Caenorhabditis elegans: one gene and its partner. The protein of the gene in region 2 purifies or fractionates together with the protein of the main gene of each other region. This does not show direct contact. Each region holds a gene or a part of one and is shown on either strand. Other genes may lie near its edges.

The links. Proteins that work in one complex are often made in the same cells at the same time.
Region 1: the proteins of fbp-1 (region 2) and aars-2 fractionate together in Caenorhabditis elegans (co-fractionation; one large-scale study listed by BioGRID). This does not show direct contact.

The regions. Positions count from the first base shown.
Region 1 is NC_003279.8:3,981,540-3,987,118, reverse strand, and holds aars-2 (Alanine--tRNA ligase, cytoplasmic), read right to left. Parts: upstream 3,937-5,579; 5' UTR 3,915-3,936; coding exon 3,771-3,914; intron 3,721-3,770; coding exon 3,532-3,720; intron 3,482-3,531; coding exon 2,311-3,481; intron 2,261-2,310; coding exon 1,585-2,260; intron 1,515-1,584; coding exon 962-1,514; intron 909-961; coding exon 735-908; 3' UTR 538-734; downstream 1-537. UniProt on the Caenorhabditis elegans protein: Catalyzes the attachment of alanine to tRNA(Ala) in a two-step reaction: alanine is first activated by ATP to form Ala-AMP and then transferred to the acceptor end of tRNA(Ala). Also edits incorrectly charged tRNA(Ala) via its editing domain.
Region 2 is NC_003279.8:2,580,472-2,587,752, forward strand, and holds fbp-1 (Fructose-1,6-bisphosphatase isozyme 2), read right to left. Parts: upstream 5,654-7,281; 5' UTR 5,652-5,653; coding exon 5,470-5,651; intron 3,907-5,469; coding exon 3,510-3,906; intron 2,458-3,509; coding exon 2,095-2,457; exon of another isoform or gene 1,263-2,094; intron 816-1,262; coding exon 732-815; 3' UTR 544-731; downstream 1-543. Other genes in the region: ptr-12 (SSD domain-containing protein), read right to left, coding at 7,225-7,281.

The DNA of each region.
Region 1 (5,579 bases), 1.4 Mb from region 2:
TTTTCATTAGAAAAACAAGAGAATTCATGATAAAACACGAAAAATCGCCCGAATTCAATTGGATATATCTTTTTGGATATATAATTGAATATATTGGATAGATATATTAATATTTTTATCAATTGATTGTCCCAGAGCAGTACACGACCGGGAATCAAGAAACTTATCTCTTAAGCATATGTCTGGAATTTGTTCTCAAATCATTTTTCTAATCTGCAAAATTGCAAAAATCTGCTCTTTTCCTCCGTAAAACACATTCATCGCCATCTGGAATTCATTGCCGTTCCGTTTCTTTTGTTGTTCTTCACATTTTTGTCCATTGTAATGTTCAGATAGCTGTGCCACAAATTAGAGATGTCTGAAGTGTAATGCCACGTCACTTTCAGAAATCTCCAGAATCTTTCGAAACTTGTTGGCTGACAAGTCGAAGGTACTTTTTTTTTTGAAATCGATCGAGGTGTTGTTGATCCGCGAGTTGAGCAGCTGTCCAGCTGTCGCGTCCAACCCACTCAAAATTGTTGTTTTCGTGAAATGGGAAAAAGTTTGGCCTCTATTTACTGCATAAACATTTTGAAACCTCGACAAACCAGCAAACAAATTGAAACATAAAATAGAAATACGAAATAAATATAATGACGGGGAGGGAGAGCAATGAACTAGAATGCAACAGACAACAATAAATAGAGGAAAGGAAGCGATATGAAAAACAGGAAATAGATTGAAAATTGGGGAAATTAATTGATTGCAGCAAGGGCAAATTTCTGGGCGAGTTCGACGGCAGCATCAAGTTTATCGACATTCTCTCCGGTGAGCTGAGCATTTGCGTCCTTTCCACCACCTTTTCCACCGAGAACTGTGCAAACTTCATTCACCCACTCGTTGGCTTTCAGGCCGTTGCTCACCAAGCTCTGAAAAAATTATATTATTTTTCTGAATTGTTTCAAAATTTCAAATTTCTCACCTTATCAACTTTAGCAAGACACAAAACTTTTCCAGAATCTTCATTCACAGAGAAAGCCATAACTGCTTTTGTGTCCTTGAGAAGTTTCAGAGCATTATCGATGGCTTTGCTGTTAGCATTGGCGGCGAAGACGTGAACGAGAACAGTAGGCTGCTCAGCGACAGCAGCAAGTTCCTTGGCTTCTCCAAGAACCTTTTCAGCGACAGCGGCTTGTTGTGCCTTTGTGTATCCATCCAAAGTCTTCTGAATGGCCTTTGCCTTTTCACGGATAGAATCCTTTCGCCAGTATGGCAGCTGAGCTCCGTTGGCTTCATCGACAATTTCTTGAATCTTCTTCTGGAGAGCCTTGAACTTATCCTTGTTGGCCAAGAGCTCATCCTTCTTATCGGCATGCTTCGATTCTTCTTCTAATCGAGCAGTCAGTCGATCGGCTCTGGCAATGGCTCTTTCAGCTTCTGGTCCTGTCAATGCAACGATACGACGGATTCCTTTAGCAATAGCTTCTTCCGATGCGATGACAATGCGGCCAATGTGAGACACGTTCTGGAGATGGCTGAAATTATAAAAATTATATCAAAATTTAACGGGTATCATCATAAAATATAAAAAGAATTAGTACTCACGTTCCTCCGCAGAACTCGACAGTCGTGTTCTGTCCCTCCTCTGCATCAGGATTCTGGAGAAGTTGCTCAACTGGAGTTCCGACAGCGACAACACGAACTGGATCTGGGTATGTTTCATCAAACATCGCACGAAGTCCCTTGACTTTTTTGGCTTCTCCAAGTGGCGAGTTCTTGGCGTAAACTTGTCCTTTTGTGTCAATCAGCTGTTGAGCGTATTCCTCGGCTTTCTTCACTTGCTGAACAGTCATTCCAGCTTTGTTGGTGAAGTCGAATCTCATACGATCTGGAGCAACGAGTGATCCCTTCTGATCCGAATCGGCGAGAACTTTGCGAAGAGCATAGTTGAGGACATGAGTTCCGGTGTGATTCTTCATGATCAGTTGCTTCCGGTCTTCATCGAATCGTTCGTTGACCTGATCACCGACTGAGAAGCTTCCTTCGGCGGATCCAACAAGCACGATGTATCCACCACGAACTTGGCAGTTGCTCACGTTGAACTCGTTCGACTCGTCATTGACTTTTGTCAAAACTCCGACGTCGTAGATCTGACCTCCCTGCTCGGCGTAGAAATTTGTCCGATCGAGAAGAATGGCTCCTTCTTCTCCGGCAGCAAGTTGATCGACAAACTTTCCGTCTCGGCGAATAGCAAGAATCTTTCCAACGCATGGCTCAAACTCTGAAGAAAAATAATTATTACAAGTTCATAAAAACAAACAAAAAACATACTGTACACAGCATCGGATCCTTCTCCAGTAAACGTGTAAGCGTACTTTGGCGAATCGTCGGTAGTTGGAACTCCCTTCTGTTGAAGCTCAGCCAATGCGTGAACATCCAAATCCAGCGTGTCACGGAACTTTCCAGTTCCAGCTGATGATGTCTCGATGGCTTTCCTGCGAGCCTCCTCGAAAGCAGTATTATCGACAGACAATCCTTTCTCTTCGGCCATCAGTTGAGTCAAGTCAGCTGGGAATCCATATGTATCGTAGAGTCTCCATGAAACATCTCCAGGGAACGTCATGGTTCCTTCTGGAAGCGATTGAACAGCGCGTTGGAAGAGAACACGTCCACGAGACAACGTTTTCAGGAATTGCTTCTCCTCGTCGTTGATGATATCCATGACGGTCACTGGATCACGGCTGAGTTCTGGGAAAGTCTCTCCGAGAATTGAAATAACCACTGGAACGAGTGATGCGAAGAATCCAGGCTGTGCATTCAACTTTTCGCTGGCATAACGAACTCCACGACGAAGAATTCGACGGAGCACATATCCTCTTCCAGAATTATCCGGACGGCCACCATCAGAGAGAGCAATGGTCAATGTTCTGACGTGATCAGCAACTACACGATATGCCATGTCCACTCCGTCTTTGTCTTCGTCACCAATGAAGCCAGTATAGGCACGAACGCCACTTCCTTTGTGAATCGCCTCGAAAATTGGTTGGAAAATGTCCGTATCGTAGTTGCTCGTCTTATCCTGCATCACAGCAATCAATCGTTCGAGTCCAAGACCACAATCGATGTGCTTCGCTGGCAATGGTTTCAGGACGCCTCCTTCCTCGCGATTGAATTGAATGAAGACAAGATTCCAGATTTCAACAACCATTGGATCATCGGCGTTGACAAGATGAGATGCGTCACGATTTCCAATGCGATCATAGTGAATCTCAGAGCATGGTCCACATGGTCCAACATCTCCCATCTCCCAGAAGTTATCCTTCATACCGAAGTTCAAAATGCGCTCGTCTGGCACTCCGACGGATCTCCAGATATCACGAGCTTCAGAGTCGGCGGGGACTCCGTTTGCCTCGTCGCCACCAAAAACCGACACATAAAGACGTTCCGCTGGGATTCCGTATACTGTTGTGAGAAGTTCCCAAGCCCATGTGATGATTTCTTTCTGAAAATTATTTTTTTAAAGAAATTTAATTAACTAAATCAATTTCTAACCTTGAAATAATCACCGAAAGACCAATTTCCAAGCATCTCGAAGTATGTGTGATGGTAGACATCTTTGCCGACATCGTCCAAGTCGTTATGCTTTCCACCGGCGCGAATGCACTTCTGCGTGTTCACGGCTCTTTTCAGCTTGGCAAGGTCGCTGTTTGGATCGGCGATTCCGAGGAACAACGGCTTGAACTGAAAATTTTAATTATTAATTGCAAGAAAAGCCGTTTGAATATTCTTACTTGGTTCATTCCCGCGTTGGCGAAAAGAAGAGTTGGGTCATCGTGCGGAATAACAGACGACGAATGTACATAAGTGTGCTCCTTCTTCTCTCGGAAAAAGTTGATGAAGGTAGAGCGGACCTCTGAGGCAGTCAGGTGCTTCATAGTAACCCAGGAGAGGTTGCTCTGAAAGAAAAAACTTTAAAATTGTTTTTGCTAACTTATAAACGACGAAAAATAGGGGAGGCGAGATTACGAGAGATTTCGCAATGAATCGAATTCGATTCGGTGCGAATTGGGTGCGAGAACGAGGAAGCTGAACAAAGAAAAATCGAAACAGTGCGCGGAAGAAAGCGGAAGCGCGGAAAAAGACAAGAATAGCGAATAAAATGAAGAATGAGTGCGGGAAACATTTCAGTGAGGTGGGCGGAGTCCAAACGCAAGCGCCGCACACTTTCTATGAAAACCGCGGGAAAACTTCATTTTCAAAATTTAATTTTTTGCGGTAGAAAATTTGGTCAATTTCTTTCATTTTTATCATCAAAATGAAATAGGAATGAACGCAAATCCATTTGTAAACGATTCGATTCATAAAAGACCCAGCACACATTGTTCTCTTTTCCATCTCTAAAATTTGTGTAGTCTCTCACTCGGTAAAACTTGTCAACACCGCATTCAATATGTTTTTCTGTGGAGCAATAAATTGATTTTCATTTGAAAAAAAAACAACTGGATAGATAATAAGATAGTGCCGAACATGATAATTTTAAGAAAATTGGGAAATTACAAAAAAACCCGAAAAAAGTGTTAAATCTGAAAAACTGATATATCTGTGAACCTTTAGTTTTAGAATTACGTGGAATAGATTTTTAGTACAGGAACACAAAATTCTGAGAATGCGTATTGAGCAGCATTTTGCGAGCAAAATATCTCGTAGCGAAAACTACAGTAATTATGTAAATGACTACTGTGGTGTCGATTTACGGGCTCGTTTTTCGAAAACAATTAAAATAATTGATTAATCGATATAATACTAATAGTAAGCGAAAAATGAGAAAATAATACGAAGAACCGAAGGAAAATGGAATATCACTGTCGCTCTTCAGAAATAAAATCTCTTGTCTTGTCAGATCGATAAATTCAAGCTGGTCATTGAGTTGCTCTTTTTCTCCGAAAGACTCACTCTAATCTTTGATTGAAAATCGTTGTATTTTTTTTTAATTTTACATTTATTTAAACTTTCTTCATTTTCTCAACTGGATATTAATTTAGTTGTATAGCATAACTTTAAACCAAGTACGCAACATTACAGAATTTTTTCTAGAATGTCCGTCAAATTATTCTCTCTACCAAGTGTGGTTCATTCACAATTGCTCAAGGAAATGAATGAACCAGACGTTTTCATTTTATCTCTTTGTTCGAAAAAATCTGCATCGGTCGTTCGAAAGCGAATCCTGGAGGTGCCTTCTATAGAACATACGTTCACGAGAACAGATTCTTTTCATATGCATGGTTTGAATGTAGAGAGCAAGAAATATAGACTTCAGCTACTATTTACAAGTGATCCATCGCCAAAAAAATTGATCTTTATACTGAAGACAAAGCTACTTCTTATTGGGTTATTCAAGTAATTTTAGAAACGAAGAATCAATTAAGAAGAAGTACAAAATATTGTGAGGTTTATTTTAAACCATTTACAAACTTATTTACAATTTACCAATAACTTATATATATATATACCAGCCGTTCGCACGCGCTGAAGCGCGTGCTCCGACTGGCGTACTCAAAATTGAAATCAAATTCTAAATTTTCTAAGCCTTCTTTGCAGAT
Region 2 (7,281 bases):
ATCTCCAACAAAAAAATTTTGTTTATTGAAAATTTCATAGATTTATCAAAAAATTTGCTGAGTTTTATTACAGGCAAACAAATTTTTGAGAATGCGTATTATGCAATATATTTGACGCGCAAAATATCTCGTAGCGAAAACTACAGTAATTCTTTATATGAGTACTGTAGGTCGATTTACGGAGCCTCGATTTTCGAGGTGGATTTCTTTTCGAATTGTGACAGCAACATTCGATTTTTTAAATTTTTTCGTAATGTTTGTGTTTTCTTCAAATATTTCATCGCTCAATTTCCGTAAATCGACACAAGAGCGCTACAGTAGTTATTTAAAGTATTACTGTAGTTTTCGCTACGAGATATTTTGCGCGTCAAATATGTTGCACTGTACGCATTCTCTGAATTTTTTGTTCCCGTAATATGTGAAAAGGATAAAAATGGGGGTTTTTTTTGACCGAAAAATTCGATTTCCAAAAAAAAATTTTATTGCAAAAAATTTTCTAAAATAATTTTCTGCTCCGCATCGGTTGGCTCTTCGTACAAAATTCCTCGACAAAAAAAGTTCATATAATTTTCGATTAGCATGCAATATATACCAAATTTGGCACAAAAAAACGTGGAAAAAACAGTTGAAATTAGAAAAAATAAGAATAAGTGCTGAAGAATGAGGGTGATGTACATGTAAACATTTAAAAAGAACTACTACTCGAATAAAAAAATTTGACTTGGGGGACCCTAATTATCATATTTGGCAAGATATTCGAGAGCCTCCTCGACGTCGAGTTTCGATCCGAGAATGATTGGAGCGCGTTGGTGAATCTGAAGAATTTGTTTTTTTTGAATTTTTGGAATGTTTTAACAATTTTTTTAAAAGTAACTTTCGGGAAAATTTTTTTTCAAAATTTTTATATAAATTTTTACCGGAAATTGTGTCTCAAAAATTTAAATTACGCCGAAATTTAAACTTTATGTTAGGAAAATAGACAAATTGGCGGAATTTAAAATCTCCGGCAAATCGGCAAATTGCCAAAATTGAAAATTTCCAGAAAATCGGCAATTTTCCAGAATTGAAAATTTCCGGCAAATCGGCCAATTGCCGAAATTGAAATTTCCGAAAAATCTGCCAATTGCCGGAATTGAAATTTCCGGCAAATCGGCAAATTGCCGGAATTTAAAATTTCCGGCAAATCAGAAAGCCGGCAATTTGGTTTCACGGTTTTTTCTCCTCGATTTGTGGAAAATTTCAAATTTTTTTCCGCTACACACCTGTGTTGGCTGAATATCGAGAATGCGTTCTTTTCCAGAATTGAAAATTTCCGGCAAATTGGCAAATTGCCGGAATTGAAATTTCCAGAAAATCGGCAAATTGCCGGAATTGAAAATTTCCGACAAATCGGCAAATTGCCAAAATTGAAATTTCCGGCAAATTGCCAGAGTTGAAATTTCCGGCAAAGCGGAAAATTGCCAGAATTGAAATTTCCAAAAAATCAGCAAATTGGCGGAATTTAAAATTTCCAGAAAATCGGCCAATTGCCGGAATTGAAAATTTCCGGCAAATCAGCGAATTGCCGGAATTTGGAATTTCCGTCAAATTAGCAAATTTCCGGAATTGAAATTTCCGACAAATCGGCAAATTGCCGGAATTGAAATTTCCAGAAAAACGGCAATTTGCCGGAATTGAAAATTTCCGGCAAATCGGCCAATTGCCGAAATTGAAATTTCCGAAAAATCTGCCAATTGCCGGAATTGAAAATTTCCGGAAAATCGGCAAATTGCCGGAATTTAAAATTTCCGGAAAATCGGCAAATTGCCGGAATTTAAAATTTCCGGAAAATCGGCAAATTGCCGGAATTGAAAATTTCCGGCAAATCAGCGAATTGCCGGAATTTGGAATTCCCGTCAAATTAGCAAATTGCCGGAATTGAAATTTCCGGCGAATCGGCAAATTGCCGGAATTTAAATTTCCGCCAAATCGGCAAATTGCCGGAATTGAAATTTTAGGAAAATAGGCAAATTGCCGGAATTGAAAATTTCCGGCAAATCGGCAAACCGGCAATTTGGTTTCAGGGTCTTTTCTCCTCGATTTGTGGAAAATTACCTGTGTTGGCTGAATATCAAGAATACGTTCTTTTCCAGTCGTGGCGAGACCTCCGGCCTGTTCAATGATATAAGCCATCGGATTACACTCGTACAACAAGCGGAGCTTTCCATTTGGAGCCGATACAGTTGGTGGATAGAGAAAGATTCCTCCGTTGAGAATTGTACGATGAACATCGGCAACCATCGACCCGACATATCTCTGTCCCATTGCCTTTTTGCCGGCTTCTGGATACTTTCGTGTACGAATATACTCGGCGAAACCCTTGCTCCATGTCTGAGCATATCCTTCGTTTAGCGAGTAGATTGAACCCTTTTCCTTGCATTTCATATTTGGGTGGGTTAGGATGAACTCTCCGATGGACTGAAAAATTATCGATTTTTCAAAAAAAAAAAATAACTGATTTTATTTATTTTTTTCGCTTTTTCAAATTTCGAAAAAGTGTTTTTGATTTATTTTTTCTAAGATTTTTCAATTTTTTCCTAAAGATTAAATTTTTAAAGTCTGAAAAACAATTTTTTTTTGAATTTTTAAAATTTTTCAGAGAGATTTAATCTTTTAAGTCTGAAAATCGAATGTTTTTTGATTTTTCAATTTTTTTCAGAGAGATTTAACTCTAAAAAACCTGAAAATCGATTTCGTATTGCTGTTTAAAATTTTTTAAGAGATATTTAATAAAAAACACGTTTTTTTGCGATTTGTCAAGACATTTTAGGGATATTTAATTGTTTTAAAAAAATCTCAAAATCATTTTTTTTTTTAATTTATTCAGAGGGATGTTATTTAAAAATCGGATTTTTTTGATTTTTCAAGTTTTTTCAGAGATTTTAACTTTTTTTTCAAATGAGTTTTTAATTTTTTTACAGTCCGAAAATCTTTTTTTTTTCGATTTTTTCTAGATTTTCAGAGATATTTATTTTTAATTAATTTTTAATTTTTAAAATTCTCAATATCGATTTTGTGCAATTTTTCAAGTTTTTTTTTCAGAGAGATGTAATTAATTTTTTATCTGAAAATCAATTTTTTTAAAATTAAAATTTTTGTTTTTTTTTCGGAGATTTAATATTTAAAAAAAATTCTGAAAATCGATTTTTTTTAATTTAAAAATTTTTTTAAAGAGTTATTTTTTTAATCTGAAATTTAATATTTTTAGTTTTTTTTTTAATTTGAAAAGTGAAAAATCGTTTTGTTTTTTCTCAAAATTTCAAAAATAAGGAGAAATAGGTAAAAACTATTTGAAAATGGTGAAATCTTTGATTTTAAAAAGGCTTTCAAATTAAATATCCCTAACAAGATTGAAAAAATGTCTAAAAATACTCAATTTTTCTAATTTTAACCGGATTTTTCTGAAAAAAAAAAACTGAATTTTTATCCAATTTTCACCACAAAAAAACTCGAAAAAAAAGACTACTAACAGGGTCAAGAGTGAACCCATTGACACCATCACCAGTGGACAAAACGACCATAGTAGCAGATCCATAGAGAGCATAACCAGCTGCCACCATTTCCTTTCCAGGCTTCAGAACATCATCGACAGTCGCCGGACCATCTCCACGTTTTTTGTAGATTCCGAAGATGGTTCCGATTGAGACGAGGCAATCGATATTGGAAGATCCATCCAATGGATCAAAAGTCACAATGTACTTTCCACGACGTTGCTCCTCCACCTCAATGAGCTCATCGTTCTCCTCGGAGACTAGGAGACATGTTGTGTAGCTGCTCTTGAGCATGTTGATCATGAGCTCATTGCTCAGCACGTCAAGCTTCTTCACTTCCTCGCCTTGTACGTTGGTGGCTCCAGCGATTCCGTATCTGGAATATATATATATATATATTTAGTTTTTTAAGGAATACTGAAAATTTATTTAAAGGTGGTGTAGTCAATTTTTTATTGCTTTATTAGACTCAAAATTTTCTGAAAACACCGAATTTCATAATGAAACTTCTTGAAAACTTCTCAAAAAAAAGTTATGACGGCTCGAAAAACGGCCTAAAATTAATTGAAATTTGAAATTTGACCGACTTGTCAAGCGGCTGGAAACTAACTTTTTTGAAATTACCGTCTTATTTTGGGTATATAATGTAATTATCTTGGCGTTTTCAACTTCATTTAGGTATTTTAAAGACGATGGACGGCAAGAATTGTTTAACTTTTTTCACCAAATCTTGCCGTCCATCGACTTTAAAATACCCAAATCGAGTTGAAAACGCAAGATAATTAAATTATATACCCAAAATTTGACGGTGATTTCAAAAAAATAAGTTTCCAGCGGTTTGACAAGTCGGTCACATTTCAAATTTTAACTAATTTTAGGCCAATTTTTGAGCCGTCATAACTTTTTTTTGAGAAGTTTTCAAGATGTTTCATTATAAAATTCGGCGTTTTCAGACTATTTTCAGACTATTTTGAGGATAATTAAGCAATTAAAAAAATTTCGACTAAACCACCTTTAATTTTATTTATTTTACGAGCAAGGGTGTCGGTTTTCCGAATTTTTAAAAAAATCGAAAAACGAAAAATTTTAGTTTTTTGATTATTTTTCTCGAAAATTCTGAGAATGCGTATTGCGCAACATATATGACGCGCAAAATATCTCTTAGCGAAAACTACAGTAATTATTTAAATGACTACTGTAGCTCTTGTGTCGATTTACGGAAACATTAAAAATAAGCACAAAATAAGGAAAAAAAAAGGGTTTTTCGATTTTTTTTTTCGAATTTTCGATTTTTTGAGGGGAATTCTAAAACCCGAAAAAAGTTTGATTTCCCAAAAATCGGAAAAAAAAATCTGAAAATTAACCATTAAATGTGATTTTTTATTCAATTTAATTTTGTTTATGTTGATGATAAAAACATAATATTTTATTCTAACAAAAAGAACAATTACCAAATTTTTTCGCCTAAAAAAAATCGAAAAAATTGAAAAAAAAATACGAAAAATCGAAAATTTTTCGTTTTCCGATTTTTTGAATTAATCGAAAAACCGACACTCTTAATCGAATTTCGAAAAAAAAGATCCATTCCCGTAAATCGACACCAGCGCTACAGTAATCAGTTAAAGAATTACTGTAGTTTTCGCTACGAGATATTTTGCGCGTCAAATATGTTGTACCGTACGCATTCTCAGAATTTTGTGCTCTTATAATATTAGAAATGCGTCCAAATGAACAAAAATGTCTCAAAATATCGAAAAAAAAAATGCAAATTTTAGCTAAAATCTCAAAATTTTGGTAAAAGTACGGAAATATGACCAAAATTTGAGATTTTAGCTAAAACTAGACCGATTTATCGAAAATTTGAACTTTCATAGCAATTTTTTGGCAATGTTTGCGTATTTTTAAATAGATTTTTCGTGATAAATCCCAAATTCCATACAATTTCGCGAGTCCTGCCTTCTGGGTGGCTGAAGCGATTGCCTTGATGGCGACGAGCATGTTGGTGAGCAACGCGGTAAGCTCTCCACTTGCATCGGCATGCTTACGCTGCTCTTGGAGCACGTAACGTTGAAGGGTGATCGAGTCGGTCTCGATTCCGAATTGACTGGTTTCCGAGGCCATTTCTGTAAGAATTTATTGAATTTTGAAATTTAGAAATTTAAAATAGAGAATTTTGCATTGAAAAATTGGAAATTAAAAAGGAAATCGAATTTTTACGGCGTCGAAATGGCAATTTAGATGGTAAAATCTGTTAATCTCATGTTGCCGGTCATTGAGAAGAACAGAGGCCGAGCGGCGAGATAGCATGCAAAACTGGGAGAGCACAGAGAAGCGAGCGACGGCGAAATAGAAAGGCGGGAGAATGAGGCGATCAGGCAACAAAATACTTTGTGTTGCCCGCTGATACTTTGAACTTTGTGGTAAACAAACATTAATGCGCTGATTTTTGAATATTTCGAGGTGGAAAGTAGTGCAAAATATTTAATTTAGTAGAGAAACCTGTGAAAATCCGGGAGAATCGGTCAAAGATCGCTAAAATACATTGAAAAATGAATAAAAAAGCTTTAAAACCATCATCGTTGTGAAACCCTAAGTACAGAAAAGCAATTTGTCCCATTAAAAGATTACTGTAGAAATTTTTAAGTTTTTTTACTGCTATTTTGCTAGCAACTGCTTTTGTTTAGATTTTCTTGAAATTTCTCAAGTGTTATTCTTTATATAAAGTAATCTAAAAATATTCAAAAATATTTTGAAAACACTAGAAAAATAAAAAGTGAAAAAATTTTTTTAACAATGTTTTGTAGAAATCGCAGTGAGACCCGAAGCCAGAAGGGAAGGCGTGCGCCTTTAAAGGATTACTGTAACAAACGTTTTGTTTTTATGTTTTTTAGGAAATTAATTACACTCAAAATAATAAAACTGCGTGGCGTGTACTGCAGAAAACCTAATATTTAGGCCCCGCCTTTTAATCGTCCACTCACGGGGAAAAAACAAAAATAGGGGAGGGGGGGACAGCTCGCCACGCCAACAGTGAGAAAAATAGTGTGGTGCGCGGACCTCGAATGATGTCGGCGGCTGATATTGCCTGGGGTACCGCTTTTTGCGTTTTCCCCGTGAGTGGACGATTAAAAGGCGGGGCCTAAATATTAGGTTTTCTGCAGTACACGCCACGCAGTTTTATTATTTTGAGTGTAATTGTCGTCCATAATGCTTAAAAAATCGTTTTCCAATAATAATTTGAACGGTTTTGTGATTAAAAAATATTCAATCTGACAATATATTTAGTTTTGAAGAAAAAAAAGTTCAGAGTAAAAATAAATCCGATTCGAAAAAAATTCGCCTAACACTCGACAAAATGCGAATTTTATAGTGAAAAGTTGCGGGAGGGATAGTGAAAACGTGAGACGGAGAGCGGAGAGAAATGTCCAATGTTTTCGACGATTTAAAGTGCGGTCAGTCACGTATACTTCCATTTATCCCTGGATGTTGGTCCAGAAATTTCCAGAAAAAGCAGTTGTCCACGTGTATTGGGCGAGTTATCTTTATTACCGTATTATCATTTAGAAATCACCGTAAAAATTATTTATCAAAGGGAATTGGTAAACAGTGGAGGGAAAGTTTGGCGGGGGAGAGAGAAAGAGAGAGACGCAGACAGCACAAAGATCGAACAAACATAATAGATTGGAATTCGAGATCATTTTGATTCAATTGGAGATGTTTTCGGTACTCGGAACAGTGAATGTATTCGATG